Linked DNA regions of Stegostoma tigrinum. The protein of the gene in region 2 purifies or fractionates together with the protein of the main gene of each other region. This does not show direct contact. Links are inferred from orthologs where the notes say so. Each region holds a gene or a part of one and is shown on either strand. Other genes may lie near its edges.

Region 1 (7,463 bases), on a different chromosome or scaffold from region 2:
TCTCCAACTGATTTGTATCATGTTATATCCTCTGACAATCCTCCTCGCTATCTGCAACTCCCCCAGTCTTTGTAACGTCCACAGACTTACTAATTAGACCAGCTACTTTTCTCTCCAAATCACTTATGTAGATCACAAACAGGTGAGATCCAGCACTGATCCCTGCGGAACACCGCTCATGACATTCCTCCATTCCAAAAACTATCCTTCCACCTCTACCCTCTGTCTCCTATGCCTAAGCCAGCTCGCACCTGACACCACGTGACTTCACCTTTTGTACTAGTCTGTCATGAGGGACGTGGACAATGGTTTTACTGGAGTCCATGTAGACAACATCAACTGCTTTTCCTTCATCAATCATCTTCATCACCCCCTTGAAAAATTTGATCAAGTCAGTGAGGCATGACCACCACACACTTAAACCATGTGTTAATTGCTAATCAGTTAATTTACTTCTAAATGTTTATAGATCTTGTTCCTAAGAATCTTTTCCAGTAACTTTCCTACCACTGACAAGAGGCTCACAGACCTGGAATTGCCCGGATTATCCCTGCCACCCTTTTTAAACAATAGGACTATGTTAGCTATTCTCCAGCCCTCTGGGACCTCAGGCGTGACCAAAGAGGACATAAAGAATAGATTCCCTGCAGTGTTTAAACAGGCCCTTCGGCCCAACAAGTCCACACTGCCCCTTGAGGCATCCCACCCAGACCCATCCCCCTATAACCCACACACCCCTGAACACTACGGGCAATTTAGCATAGCTGATTCACCTAGCCTGCACATCTTTGGACTGTGGGAGGAAACCCACGCAGACAAGGGGAGAATGTGCAAACTCCACACAGACAGTCGCCCGAGGTTGGAATCAAACCCGTGTCCCTGGTGCTGTGAGGCTGCACTGTTAACCACTGAGCCACCATGCCGTCCTGATGTCTGTCAATGCTCCAGCAATTTGTTCTCTTGTTTCCCCTCAATATTCTAGGATAAATCCCATCAAGACCCAGGGATTTATCTACCCTTAAGACTTTCTAAGACACACAACTCCTCTTCCTTTTTAACGTCAATTTCTAAACCAAGTTGCTTCTAGCCTGTGTCTCCAACGCCTAACCGAACAACCATGCACAAACTCACCTCTTGGGTTGTGACTGAGTTTGGAACTGATAAAAAGGTTATAAGGATAAAATGGAATAGTGGTATTAGTTTAGGGCTATTCCAGTAAGGAACTGCTGTAGGCACAACAGCTGAACAACCTGCTTTCTATTGAAGTCTGTCCATCTAATGTTCTTGCTCTGTCATGGTAATCTTATTAGGTTTATCACAAAGCTTAGCACTGTTAAAACTCTAGAAGTTATTTTCAAGTAACAAAAAGTTGGTGTGATTCTGTTGCTGTAATGGCAAAGCAATGGGAAGGTGACACACCTGCGTCTAAAATGTATTACTGATTTTTGGGAAGCCTGATTACCTGCATTTCTTCAATTCAAATTCATTGTAAGTTTCAGGAGGAGTTTTAATTTTTTGCCTAGTCTGGTGACTTCAGTTCCCTGTTCCATTTATCCCATTAAAAGGTTTTTTTTATAAACCATTGCTCCACAATATGGCTAGCTCCAGTGTCAACTGATTCCAGTCTAATTTCCTCTGCCAACCAGGCAAGTCAACTCGACAGTGTGAATTAAATTTTAAAGGGATGTTATTTCAGGGATCAAATTCTTGCGGGTATTTTTGTTTGCTTTTTAGGGGCTGTTAGTGTGCTTGAAACCATTAAGACCCTGTGATCACGGCAGAATGTTTGAAAAAATTCTGTTCACATTCTATACTGCAGATTCTATGTTGAACTCTTTATTTTTAAAATCATGTTCTGGTTTGTGCATTTTGTAGAACAACTTTATATTCTAAGTTTTCTTGAACCGCAAAATGATAACTGTTTCAATCAGAGCAATGCAGAATTTTCAGATATAGTTAGTGACACGTTTTTGATGTGGAAATCTCTGAAATTCATTTTAATGAGAGCTAAAGTATTTCAATCTGTTGTTCACAGCTTGCACAGTTCGAGCCCCCAAAAGAGGAAGGGCAACCTGAATAATAATTCAAGACTTCCCACGTTATCAGAAGAATGCATGAAAGGGATCTGATAAAATCATCTGGCAAATAGTATTAATTTTGGAGAATTGGCACCTATTCTGGAAGAAATGCAGCCAGTCATTTTAGGTTACACATGCCAAAACAAAAGTTACTTTAAGCTAAAAAAAATTATGCCATTGTTGTATACCTGTCTGCAATGCAGCATTTGGAAGTGGATATTCAACAGAATTTTTACTCAATGCATCTAAATTCTACACAAACATTTGATTCAGATATAGCCCTACAAACCAATGCAAGTTGCACATGTTTCATTGGATCCTAAATTTTGTTAATATTGGCATGATGTTACCAGATTTCTGAAACAAATTTCAGTAACTTTGTTTCACCAAACATGTTTGTTAAAGTCATTTTGCACTTTGTGGGGAACAGTACTGAGCACTCTTGTCTGGCATATCCTGTTAGTTTGGGGGACATGGGGACGGATAAGCTAGGGGTTAATAGCTTTAAGTCACATTAGGCCAATAGAATCTGTATATCAGTTCACAAGCCAAACTGAACAAGTGGAACTTGGCAGCAGTCAAGTATGAATGTTGACCATGTTGGATGGTTTGCTGTCATTGGGCCAGTATTTTGGACAAAATCTGGCAACCAGGCCGTGATCCACTAACGTGACTAGGCACTGGCATTTTTGGAGCAGGAGGAACATCTTATCAGCAAACTACACTAATGCTGAAACCAGGCCCATTTGGCTCAATTAATGTCCAAGTTTTATTGTTTTTTTAGTTGTACAGAAGTTCAATTTTTCCCTTTTTTGTATTCACTGAATAAATTTTCTTTGCACATCATTGGTATGTTTCTTGATGATAAAACACTAGATTAACCAGTATTAAAAGATTTTTGTTCTAGAGGCAAGCCCAGGATTTGCATTTGTAATGGAATGACACTGTCCCGCCCCTCCTTGTGTACTTGTCTCAGTCCTTCAGATGGAGCCGTGTCTAACTCTGTCACTTTCCTCTTTTATTTCTTTGCAGAATGAACTTAAGTAACTGCTCTCTTCCCTGGCCAATCATCCATTTTCTCTCAGCTTCTTATTATCCACTCCCTCACATGCTCATGTCCTTCCCCTTTCCCCACCCACCTACTCACTCCCCTTTCAGGTTCATGTTCTGTTCTCCCTTATCTTCATTTCTTTCTCTTTTCTCGATCTGGCTTCTACTCTTTTCTCTTCTCCCATCAGTATTCCTTCCAAGATAAAACAAACAGTCACCAGGATAAGTATGGATTAATATGTGAATGCCAAGTCACATTTGATTCACCTGATGGAAAACGGACTTTTGAAAGATATTGATAAAATTTGTTGCCCATAGGACAAAAGGGCCCACAGCACCTTTGAGACAAAATTACCTGAGTGACAGCGAACTACATTTTCAAACTGGAGAAAGATGTGTTGTAGGGTTATTAGGAACCCTTTTTTTTTGATATATGCTGAGCTGAGCACACATAAATTTACAGATGACAAAATCTGGAAATATAGTAAAATCTGAAGAAGATACTGCAAGATTTTAATAGGACACAAGTTGATGGAGGGGTTATGAAGAGAAGCATGGATAATTCATGCTTGAGAAATGGAGAAATGCAATATGTATTTGTAGAATTCTAGAGAGGTACAGGAACATGGGGCAAATTAAAAGCAACAAGGCACGTTAAGAAAGTATTGTAAAAGCAATCAGGATCGTAGGCTTCACAAATAGAAGTATCACGTACAGAAGCAAAACAAATATGAACTTTTGTAAAGTACTTGTCCATCACAATTCAAATATCTTGTCAAACTGCACTTGGGGAAGGATGATTAAAAACTTTGAGAAGATACAGCAATGATTAACTAAATATTAACACGCTTTGAAAATTTTCATTTGCAAAATTATCCTGATGCAGGCAAGGGAAGTGTTTACCGTGCAGAAAGATATGGAATTGGAGTAAATAAATAGTGATATCTTGAAGCATCTCTTACAATGGAGACAGTAAGAACTGCCAGTGCCGGGGTCAGAGATAACACAGGGTGGAGCTGGAGGAACACAGCAGGCCAGTTTTGGGTCAGGATTCTGAACAAAGGTCCTGACCCGAAACGTCAGCTTTCCTGGTCCTCAGATGCTGCCTGGCCTGCTGTGTTCCTCCAGCTCCACCCTGTGTTATCCGTATATTACAATGGCGGTGGTGCTGAAGTCTTAAAACACAAAAAGGTGGATAAATCCCTGGGAGCAGATCAAGTGTACCCTAGAACTTTGTGAGAAGCTAAGGAAGTGATTTCTGGACCCCTTGCCAAATATTTTGGCATCATCAATAGCCATGGGTGAGGTGCTGGAAGACTAGAGGTTGGTCAACGTGATGCTGTTATTTAAGAAATGTAGAAAGGTAAAGCCAAAAAACTTAGACTGGTGGGCAAGTTGTTGGAGGAGGGTCTGAGGGACAGGATTTATGTTTATTTGGAAATGCAAGTGCTGATCTAGGAATAGTCAACATGTCTTTGTGTATGGGAAATCATGTCCCACTAACTTGATTAAGTTGTTTGAAGACGTGATGAAGAGGATTGAAGGCACAGCAGTCAACGTCTGCATGCTCAGTAAGGCATTCAACAAGGTTCTGCATGAAAGACTGCCTAACAGGGTTAGTTCATACGGAATACAGGGAGAACCAGCCATTTGGATACAAAATTGGCTAGAAGGTAGGAACTAGGATGTTGTGGAGGGTTGCTTTTTGGATTGGAGGCCTGTGACCAGCAGTTTCCTGCAGGGATTGGTGCTGGGTCTGATTTTTTTTTTTGTTTTGTTATTTGTAGAAGCTATTTGGATATGAATATAGGAGGTATGGTTAATAACTTTGTAGATCACACTAAAATTGTTGCCAAGGATAGCAAATAAGGTTACCTTGGAGTCCAACAGGACCTTGGTCAGATGGTCTGAGGAGTGACAGATGGAGTTTATTAGATAAATGTGAGATGCTATACTTTGGTAAGGAAATCAGGCAAGAATAATACACTTAAAAGTAAGGTGTAGGGGAGTGTTGTCAAACAGACACCTTGATATGCAGGTTTGTAGTTCCTTGAAAGTCACTGGTAGACAGGTCAGTGAAGAAGACCTTTCGTATGCCTGTCTTTATTGGTCAGTGCATTGAGCAAAAGAGTTGGGAGGTCATGTTGTGGTGGTACAGGACATTGGTTAGGCTACTGTTGGAATGCTGTGTTTGATCCTGGTCTCTCTGATAAAGGAAAGATGTTGTGAAACTTGGGTTCAGAAAACATTTTTAAGGATGTTGCCACAGTTGGTAGGTTTGAGCTGGAGGAAAAGGCTGAGAGGTGACCTTATAGAGGTTTATAAAGATCATGAGGGGCATGGATAGGGTGAATAGTCAAGGCCTTTTCCCCAGCATAGTGGAGTCAAAAACTAGAAGGTATAGGTTTACGGTGAGAGGGGAAAGATTTAAAGGGAACCTAAGAGGCAACTTTTTTGCGCAGTGCATGTATGGAATCAGCTGCCAGAGGAAGTGTAGGAGGTTGCTACTGTTACAAAAATTAAAAGACATCTGGATGGGAACATGACTAGGAGGGGTTTAGAGGGATATGGGCCAAATGCTGGCAAATGGGACTAGATTAATTCAGCATATCTCGGCAGCATAGATGAATTGGACTGAAGGGTCTATTTCTGTGTTGTACATCTTTGACTCTGTAACCAGGGGAACATGACATTTCTCCTGTAAGAAGCAGTGTGTTGACTGGTAGAGATGTTACTATGAACAATACATCAGTCCTTACGTTTGTTCTTTGCAAACAATGTGGGCATTGCTGTCTCGAGTGTCCCTGATTGTCCTGTAGAAGGTGATGGTGAGCTGCTTTCTTGAACCATTGCATTGTGTTGTAGATACACCCACAGTGCTGTAAGGAAGACAATTCCAGGATTTTGTCCCAATAACAGCAAAGGATGATGAGTAAGTTCCAACTAAGGATACTGTGTGATTTGCAGCAGCGGTACTGTGTAGCATCTACAAGATGCACCTAGACAACTCATCCAGGCTTTTTAAACCTTACAAACCGATGGCAGCGACCACCAAGGAGGACAAGGCAAGAAAAGATCCCCTCTGAGTGACTCACCATCCTGACTTGGATGGTGGATTGGAAAGAAATCCCTATCCCTACGCTATTGCTGGGTCAAAATCCTGTAACCCTCCTCTCAAACAGGTCGTGTGTGCCCTGACAACACACAAACTGGAGCAGTCCAAGAATGCTGCTCACTATCACCCTATTACAGGCAACTTGTTGGGAGTTTTTTTACAGACCCCCTAATAGTTGCAGAGAAGTGGAGGAGCAGATTGGGAGGCAGATACTGAAAAGGTGCAGAACTCACAGGGTTGTAGTCTGGGTGACTTCAACTTTCCAAATATTGATTGGAAACAATCTAGTTGTAGTAGTTTAGATTTTGTCCAGTGCATTCAGAAAGGATTACTGACACAGTATGTAATAGACCAACATGAGGAAAGGTGATTTTCGATTTGGTGCTTGGCAATGAACCAGGCCAACTGTTAGACCTGTTGGTCGAAGAGCATTTTGGCGTTAGCAATCATCACTGTTACTTTTACAATAGTCACGGAAAAGGATAGGTATGTACAGCAGAGTAAGGTTTATAATTGGGGGAAGGGTAATTACAATTCTGTTAGGCGAGAACTGGGTAAAAAAAATGGGAACAGATGATGTCAGGGAAGAGCTCTCTGAAATGCGGAGATTGTTTAAGGAATGCATACTGCGTGTGCTCAATATGTTTGTCCCGAGCAGGCAAGGAAGATGCGGTTGAGTGAGGCAGCCTTGGTTCTTAAGAGAGGTTGAATGACTAGGATGCTTATATAAGGTTTAGGAAACAAGGCTTGGAAAAGACTCCAGAGGGATACAAGTTAGCCAGAAAGGATCTGAAGAAAGGGTGTAGGAGAGCAATAAGGGGGCATGAGAAAACCTTAACAGATAGGATCAAGGAAAACTCCAAGGCTTTTTACACATTAGTGAGGAATAAGAGAATGATCAGAGAAAGGGCAGGGCCAATCAAGGATTGTAAAGGGAATTTGTGCACGGAGCCTAAAGCGATACGAGAGGTCCTTAATTAATACTTTTCTTCAGGATTCATAACTGAGAGGGACCTAGTTGTAGAGGAGGCCAACGTGAAACAGGCTGGTAGGCTAGAGGAGATCAATGTTAGTTAGGAAGATGTGCTAGGAATTTTGAGGAACTTGAGGATATATCAGTCCCCTGGACCTGAATGGAATTAATCCAATGATTCTATAGGAAGCGAGGGAAGAGATCACAGTGCCTTTGACGTTGATCTTTTCGTCCTCACTGTCCATGG
Region 2 (7,822 bases):
GTTAGATACTCAAGAAAACTTGCACTTAAAGAACATTAAACATAGCATCTAGCTATGTGAACTAGTCAATCGATTTAAATGCAGACTAACGGTTTAAAATAATTTTACACACTTTAGAGATTGAATTCATGGACTACTAAGGATCTATATGTGGATATCTTTGTTCACAGCTAAATCAGCATAAGTTGGTTTATTACTGCAATCCCAGGTCTCCCAGATCCTTTACAAATCCAGATGGCACCAAGTAAAATAAGACTTGCAGAGATACACAGCGAAAGGCACACTACATTCTCTTTGCTATCAAATTTCCAGTATAAACTCAAACTTCAAGCTCAATGAAATCTCCAAATCACTGATGACTGAATGAACAGCAAGTAGAAAAAAGTTGGATATCAATGTATGTTTTGATAGTCTGCTCAAATATTTAGTAATATGCTATCTTCAACAATACTTGTACTTTGCTGAATGCAGTATTGTCTATTGTATTTCCAAGTACGATTCCAGTTTTTCAAAACGTGGTACTGTTCCCAATACAGAAACTTCACCAGCTCTAAATAAAACCTCTAAGACACAACAAATAAAATAGATGTAATACTGGCTCTATCCCAGAACATAATTGGAACTGCTGTCTGCTTTGCACTTTTGGAAAATGCATGGAATATAAACAAATTAGAAAAATAAAAATTGCAAGGTTAATAGAGGTTAGACATGACAGCACAGCATCAAGTGCTGTTTTAAGAATATTGGAATGCTGGTGTTTTAGTGAATTATCAATCTTCTTAAAATGACCTTGCTAGGTACACAGGACAAGTGCCAAATACTTTAAAGCAGATTAGCCAGCATCAAGCCAAACACATTTAACACCAAAAATAACTTACATTTATGAATCATCTTTACTTGCTAAATCATGAAGGAAGTTCAGAGGGGCATTAGCAAATTTTTAACATCAAGTCAAGTGATCAAAATATCCGTCAACAGTTTTGAAGGAGTATCTTAAAAAGGAAAAAGGACCAGCAAGATTGGCTAAGGAACTCTAAAGCTTAGGTCCCAGATAGTTGAAGGCACAATTATGAGCTGTGGAACAATTAAAATCAAGTACGATTGAAGGAGGTGAAAGTGTGTAAAAACCTCAGGGTTGTAAGGTTGGAGGAAGTCACAGTTCTTTTTGATGGTACTGATAGGGAAGGGATGAAGATCATGGATGGATTTGAAAACAAAAATGATTTCTCTTAAAGTTGAAGTCTATCAAGACAGCAGACAATATCGGATAGCGGGCACATAGATGGTGTTTGAAAAGATATATGGTGGGTGTCATGGTCAAGGCAGTTGAGTTTAGGGATAACCTCAATAGACAGACAGGTGTGAGGCCAGCCAAAAGTACAGTGGAAGAGTTTCTAGAGTGTAAGCTGAACCCCAGAGGCATCCGTCAAAGTTCCAAGAGCAGATGCACTGCAGCAGGAACGCAGCAGAGTGATTTAAAAAAAAAGTGGGAATGGGGTATTTGTGATGGAACAGGTATGTATTGGAAGCTCATCGCAAGGTCAAATAGCCCAGTTTGACCTTAGACACAGACCAGGGAGATTCTGGTGCTCAAAAGCAGAGCTTGTAGTAGAGGCCAAAGACAATGATCATCCAAGACTTGATTTCTGACAAGAAATGTTACAAATGAGAGTTAAAACTGGTAATGGAGAGGTAGATTATTGTCAATGTACATCTGGAACCTGATGTGTTTTTAAATAATGTCACTGAGGGATGGACAGGGTCTCCAATTAACATCTTATCCCAAAGACAAGGGAGCAGCATTTCCCATATAACACCATACAGCATCAGCCCAGATTTGTGTTCAACCCTCTGGAGAAAGACCACCTCAGGGGATAACAGTGCACTAACTGAAGTAGAGATACTCAAGGACAGCTCCTCTTACTTCTGTAATTTAGTTTTGCTGTCCACATTTTGACCAAAACTTGCCTTTTATTTGTACATGAAATGAGGGGATTGCTGGCTAGGCACACAATTATTGTCTATTCTGAACTGTCCAAAGGCAGTCAAGAGTCAGCCATTTTGCTGTAGGTCTGGAGTTACATAATGGCATAACACGAGTGTTTTTTTATTGCAGATGAAGGTAACTAGGGCCAAAGTCCAGTGGTTCTGTGTAGAACGCAAACTCAGCAGTTTATTGCTGGCTGACAGGAATTCACTACACCAGGGAGTTGTGGAGGCTAGATCACAACTATTTAAAGTAGGGAGGTAGACTTCAACGATCAGAGTTGAACCTGGCACGAAAGGTGAGTGAGGCCTGGGGTACATCAGCACTGATCTTACAAAAAGAGTGTGCAGGCTTGACGGCTGCATGGCCTGCTGCTGCAGTATCTTCTCATGTTCTAATGGCAGCACTGTCAACAATACCTCTTCCCCTGCTTTGTTAACATGGAAAATCTGACTGATGGGGCGGACCTTGGGGATAGCCTTAAAGAGTAAATGCAAACTATGGGAAGTGGGATTCGGTGCAGTGGCAAGTCGTGGATGAAGAGCCAGAGGAAATGGCAGATGCAGGTCCAGTGACAACATTCAAAAGAAATTCGGGGAGGGGCGTGAACAGGAAGGGTTTTGGGGGAATGTGGGCCAAATAGGAGTAATTTAGCTTGGGGAACTTGATCGGTATGGACGAGTTAGACAGAAGGATCTGCTCGCATGCATCTGCATCTACAGAGACAGGCAGTGCTCTGTGAGAACATACCCGAGTACTGCCGAGCCAGCCTGCTCAGGTCTTCCTTGTTGAACACGTGCTCTTTGCTGCTTAGCCACGCGCGGAACATCCAGATGCTGAGCCCGGCCACAGTCACCAGGACAACGGCACGGCCCAGCGTCAGCTTCATGTTAAGCGGCTCGAGCCCCGGGGTGGGGGAAAGGAGCGCGACAAACCGTCCCGGGGTAAGGGGGGAGGAGGACACACAGCAATTCGTCCAAACTCTGCGCCGCTGACCACCAGCTTCCTGCACCCACCACGTCTCCTCCTGGCTCGAACAGAAACGCCGGTTTTCCCACGGCGCCGTCACTCACCCCCGCCCCGCCCCACTTCATGACTGACAGCGCGATCTTGCCTATCGGAGGCCGGGAGTTCCCACGGTTCCCGTGTCCCCTTGACAATGAGCGTGGTGTATTGTCACAGGAGGCGGGGTGGAAAGGCCGACTGAAGTGTGCTCCGAGGTTCTCGGCGGGCTGTTGCTCATCCACTTTATCGCGAGCATCGATTTGCACCAACTGCTAAGTGAATTGCTAAACTTTAATCTATCGGCTCGGCTGTGTGCATCCTGCCTCACGAGCCCACCAAACTGAACCGGAACGGCAGACGCTGAAAATCTGAAATGGCAACAGACACTGGGTACACGCAAGGCAGTATCTGTGGGAGAGAGAAACGAAGTTAACACGGTTGTGATGAAGGGTCACGGACCCGAGGAGTTATCTCTCTGTCTCTCCTCTCTCTCCCCCTCTCTCTCCATAGACGCTGCTGAGTATTGCACTTTTGTCTTTCTTCCAAAATCCAAACCTTGTTTAAAAGTCATTTATTCCTTTGCAAGCATACACTCTATTGATTAAACTATTGATTAAGACTGTTGTGGTGCTGGTCGTATCCTGTCTTCTGAGGCAGAAGGACCAAGTTTAGGTCCCACCTGTCAGGAAGTGTATCATAGTATAAACAAACAAGTTGATTACTAACGTCTAAGGCCAAAACCTTTCAAGTGAATGTAAAATACCTAAAGAATACACTACTTCTGCTGACTGTATATTGTTTATTATAGTCTGTTGGTAAGTAACCATGGTGTTAGAATGATCGTTGCAAATTCATCAACTTTCTCCAAAAGCCTGTTAAAAGCTTTGTTTTCCTCCACCCCACATCATTGATCACAGAAGGTAAAGTTTGTGAGGTCAAATATTCATCATAAGTCATAAAGGTTTGAATAGAATCTGCACAAACAGATTCAAGAACAGCTTCTTCCCCCGTTATCAAACTTTGAGAAAGTCTTGTTTAATGATAATATTGATCCCTCTCCGTACCGTCTTTGCAGCTGTAACATTGTATCCTGCACTCTGTTCTGTTATCCTGATGCACTTATATAGTACAATCTGCCTGTAAAGCACATAAGACAACATTTTTCACTGTGTCTGGGTACACATGACAGAGATAAATCAAATCAAAAGTTGAGTAAATGTCAGAACTTAATCATATCTAGTATCTTGATTTTTATTTATGGCTAGTTGTAATTAACAATTATCAACAAATTTATAAAAGAAATAACACATACACACATACAAACACACAACATTCCACATTAATTCAGCAATGTGGTCTGATGTGCAAGAATCTGTAAGAATTTGTTTGGGACCCACACTACGTTATTAGCGTTCAAGAGAATGCAAAATACGTAGAGCTATAAAGAAAAATTGGAGTGAACTGAACCTAAATTCGTTTTGTGGGATTTGGGCATCGCTGGCTGGCCAGCATTTCTTGCCATTTCCGAGTTACCCTTGAGAAAGTGATGATGAGCTGCTTCCTTGAACCGCTACAGTCCGCCATTAGGGAGGGAATTCCAGGATTTTGACCCGGCGACGCTGAAGGAAGGGCGATACATTTCCAAGTCAGAATGGTGAGTGGCTTGGAGAGGAATTTGAAGGTGGTGGTGTTCCCATGTCTCTGCTGCCATCGTCCTTCTAGATGGAAGCGGTTGTGGGTTTGGAAGGTGCTGTCTGAGAATCTTTGGTGAACTTCTACAGTGTAGAATAGTGTAGATAGTACACACCGCTGCTACTGAGCGTCAGTGGTGAAGTGGATGTTTGTGGATGTGGTGCCATTCAAGCGGGCTGCTTTATCCAGAATAATGTCACGCTTCTCGAGTATTTTGGAGCTGCACCCATCCAGGCAGCTGGGGGGTATTCCATCAAATTCCTGACTTGTGCTTTATAGATGATGGACAGGGTTTGAGGAGTCAGGAGGTGAGTTACACAGCATTCCTAGTCTCTGACCCATTCCAGTAGCTGTTGTGTTTACGTGGTGAATTCAATTGAGTTTCTTGTCAATCATAATCTTCAGGATGTTGATAGCAGGGGATTCAGTAGTGATTGAGTATTAGGGGACAGTGGTTAGATTGTCTCTTGTTGCTGATGGTCACAGCCTTGTATTTGTGTAGCACTAATGTCACTTACCACTTGGCAGCCCAAGCCTAGATGTTGTCCAGATCTTGTTGCATTTGAGCACAGACTGCTTCAGTATCTGAGAATGGTGCTGAACATTGTGCCATCATCAGTGAACATGCCCACTTCTGACCTTATGATGGAAGGAAGGTCATTGATGAAGCAGCTGAAGATGGTTGGGGCTCGGACACTACCCTGAGGAACTCCTGCAGAGATGTCCTGGAGCTGAAATGACTGACCTCCAACAACCACAACCATCATCTTATGTGTCAGGCATGGCTCCAACCACTGGAAAGTTTGCATCTGGTACCCACTGATTCCAGTTTTGCTCAGGCTCCTTGATGCCACACTTAGTCAAGTACAGTCTTGATGTCAAGGGCTGTTACTCTCACCTCACCTTTGGAATTAAGTTCTTTTGTCCATGTTTGAACCAAGGTTATAATGAGATCAGGAGCTGAGTGGCCCTGGCAGAACGCAAACTGAGCATCACTGAGCAGATACTGCTTAATAGCACTGTTGATGGAGAGTAGATGGTGGGATGGCAATTGGCAGGGTTGAATTTGCCCTGCTTGTTTTGTCTCTGACATTCCTGGGCAATTTTCCACATTTTTGTTGTGTTGTAGCTGTACTGGAACAGCTTGGCTGAGGGAGCGGCAAGTTCTGGAGCACAAGTCTTCAGTCCTATTGGCTGAATGTTGTCAAGGCCCATAGCCTTTGCAGTATCCAGTGTCTCGAATCATTTCTTGAGATGACATAGAGTGAATAAAATTGGTTCAAGTCTGGTATCTGTAACGCTGGGGACGACTGAGGAGGCTGAGATTAATATCCACTTAGGACTTCTGACTGAAGATTGTTATGAATGCTTCAGCCTTACCTATTGTACTGACGTGCTGGGCTCTTCCATCATTGAGGATGGAGATACTTGTGGAGAAGCACAGAATCCCTTCGAGTCTACACTAACTCTCCAAAGACCTACCCAGCCCCAGTCTCCTACCCTATCCATGTAACCCTGCATAGCCATCTATCCGATACATCCCTGGATGTTATTGGCAATTTGGCACAGTTAAACCACCCAACCTGTGTGTCATTGGACTGTGTGGGGAAACCAGAGTACCTTGAGGAAGTCCACTCAGACAAGGGGAGAATGTGAAAATTCCAAGAAGACAGTTGCCCAAGAGTAGAATCAAACATGGATTCCTGGCGCTGTGAGGTATCAGCGCTAACCACTCGGCTACTGTGCTGCCCTCCTCCTGTGTTGTTTAATTGTCCACTGCCATACACGACTGGATATAACCAATTAATATGCAAACTATTTTAACAATTAATTTCTCCATATACATATTCTGCTAGATATATATAAAACTTCGAGAGGATAAAGTAAACTCAATGTTCCTAATAATGTCCCTGATTCTGTAACATTTATTAATCACAGATCAAGGCCACTCAAAGGCATGTTTGGCTACATATTACAACGTTCCTCACATTGCAACAGTAACAACATTTAAAAAACGTTTAATTGACTAAAATACTTTGGGGGACCTCGTGGCTTCAGAGAATAAATGAAATGCATTTTTTCTTTATAACTTCTTTCAGCATGTGAAAGTGCTACAATTTGTTTCCTCCTACTATAGGGAGGCAAACAATATCAACTTCATTGCAGCCATTTTGTGCTTTTGCCCACCTGGCCAGTGCAAACCCTGTGTCACCGTTAAGCTCAGGTTTAGAAGTGAAGTTTTCATGTAGAATAATCTACCAGTACTAAGCAACAGGATTTACATGTGAATAATAGGCATTCAAGCTCTGTGACTATGACTCTAATGGGCATTTGAGTGTTGTGTTGAAGGACATGTATAGAAACTTCTGAAGAAGGGTCCAGACCCGAAACGTCAGCCTTCCTGCTCCTCTAGTGCTGCCTGGCCTGCTGTGTTCATCCAGCTCTACACTTTGTTATCTCAGATTCTCTGGTATCGGCAGTTCAGACTATCTCTGTATTTCATAGGAGATAACGGGAACTGCAGATGCTGGAGGATCCGAGATAACAAAGTGTGAAGCTGGATGAACACAGCAGGCCAAGCAGCATCTTAGGAGCACAAAAGCTGACGTTTCGAGCCTCGACCCTTCATCAGAAAAGGGGGATAGGGAGACGATTCTGAAATAAATATGGAGAGAGGGGGAGGCGGACTGAAGATGGATAGAGGAGAAGATAGGTGGAGAGGGGAGTGTGGTTGGGGAGGTAGGGAGGGGACAGTCCAGTCTGAGGAGGACGGACAGGTCAAGGGGGTAGGATGAGGTTAGTAGATAGGAAATGGAGGTGTGGCTTGGGGTGGGAGGAAGTGATGGGTGAGTGGAGTGGATGGGTTAGGGAGGCAGAGACAGGCTGGACTGGTTTTGGGATGCAGTTGGGGGAGGGGAAGAGCTGGGCTGGTTGTGTGGTGCAGTGGGGGGAGGGGACGAACTGGGCTGGTTTTTGGATGTGTTGGGGGAAGGGGAGATTTTGAAGCTGGTGAAGTCCACATTGATACCATTGGGCTGCAGGGTTCCCAAGCAGAATATGAGTTGCTGTTCCTGCAACCTTCGGGTGGCATCATTGTGGCACTGCAGGAGGCCCATGATGGACATGTCGTCTGAGGAA

Evidence for each region.
Region 1: the proteins of sigmar1 (region 2) and E3 ubiquitin-protein ligase RNF185 purify together in Homo sapiens (affinity purification with mass spectrometry; 3 studies listed by BioGRID and IntAct, with this or other methods). This does not show direct contact. The link is inferred for Stegostoma tigrinum from reciprocal best matches to the Homo sapiens genes SIGMAR1 and RNF185.

What each region holds. Positions count from the first base shown.
Region 1 is NC_081379.1:51,227,186-51,234,648, reverse strand, and holds the start of E3 ubiquitin-protein ligase RNF185, read left to right. Parts: upstream 1-4,290; 5' UTR 4,291-7,463. Other genes in the region: c-Myc-binding protein, read left to right, coding at 2,036-2,080. UniProt on the Homo sapiens protein: E3 ubiquitin-protein ligase that regulates selective mitochondrial autophagy by mediating 'Lys-63'-linked polyubiquitination of BNIP1.
Region 2 is NC_081354.1:147,742,231-147,750,052, forward strand, and holds the start of sigmar1 (sigma non-opioid intracellular receptor 1), read right to left. Parts: upstream 3,057-7,822; 5' UTR 2,877-3,056; coding exon 2,738-2,876; intron 2,286-2,737; exon of another isoform or gene 2,172-2,285; intron 1-2,171. UniProt on the Homo sapiens protein: Functions in lipid transport from the endoplasmic reticulum and is involved in a wide array of cellular functions probably through regulation of the biogenesis of lipid microdomains at the plasma membrane.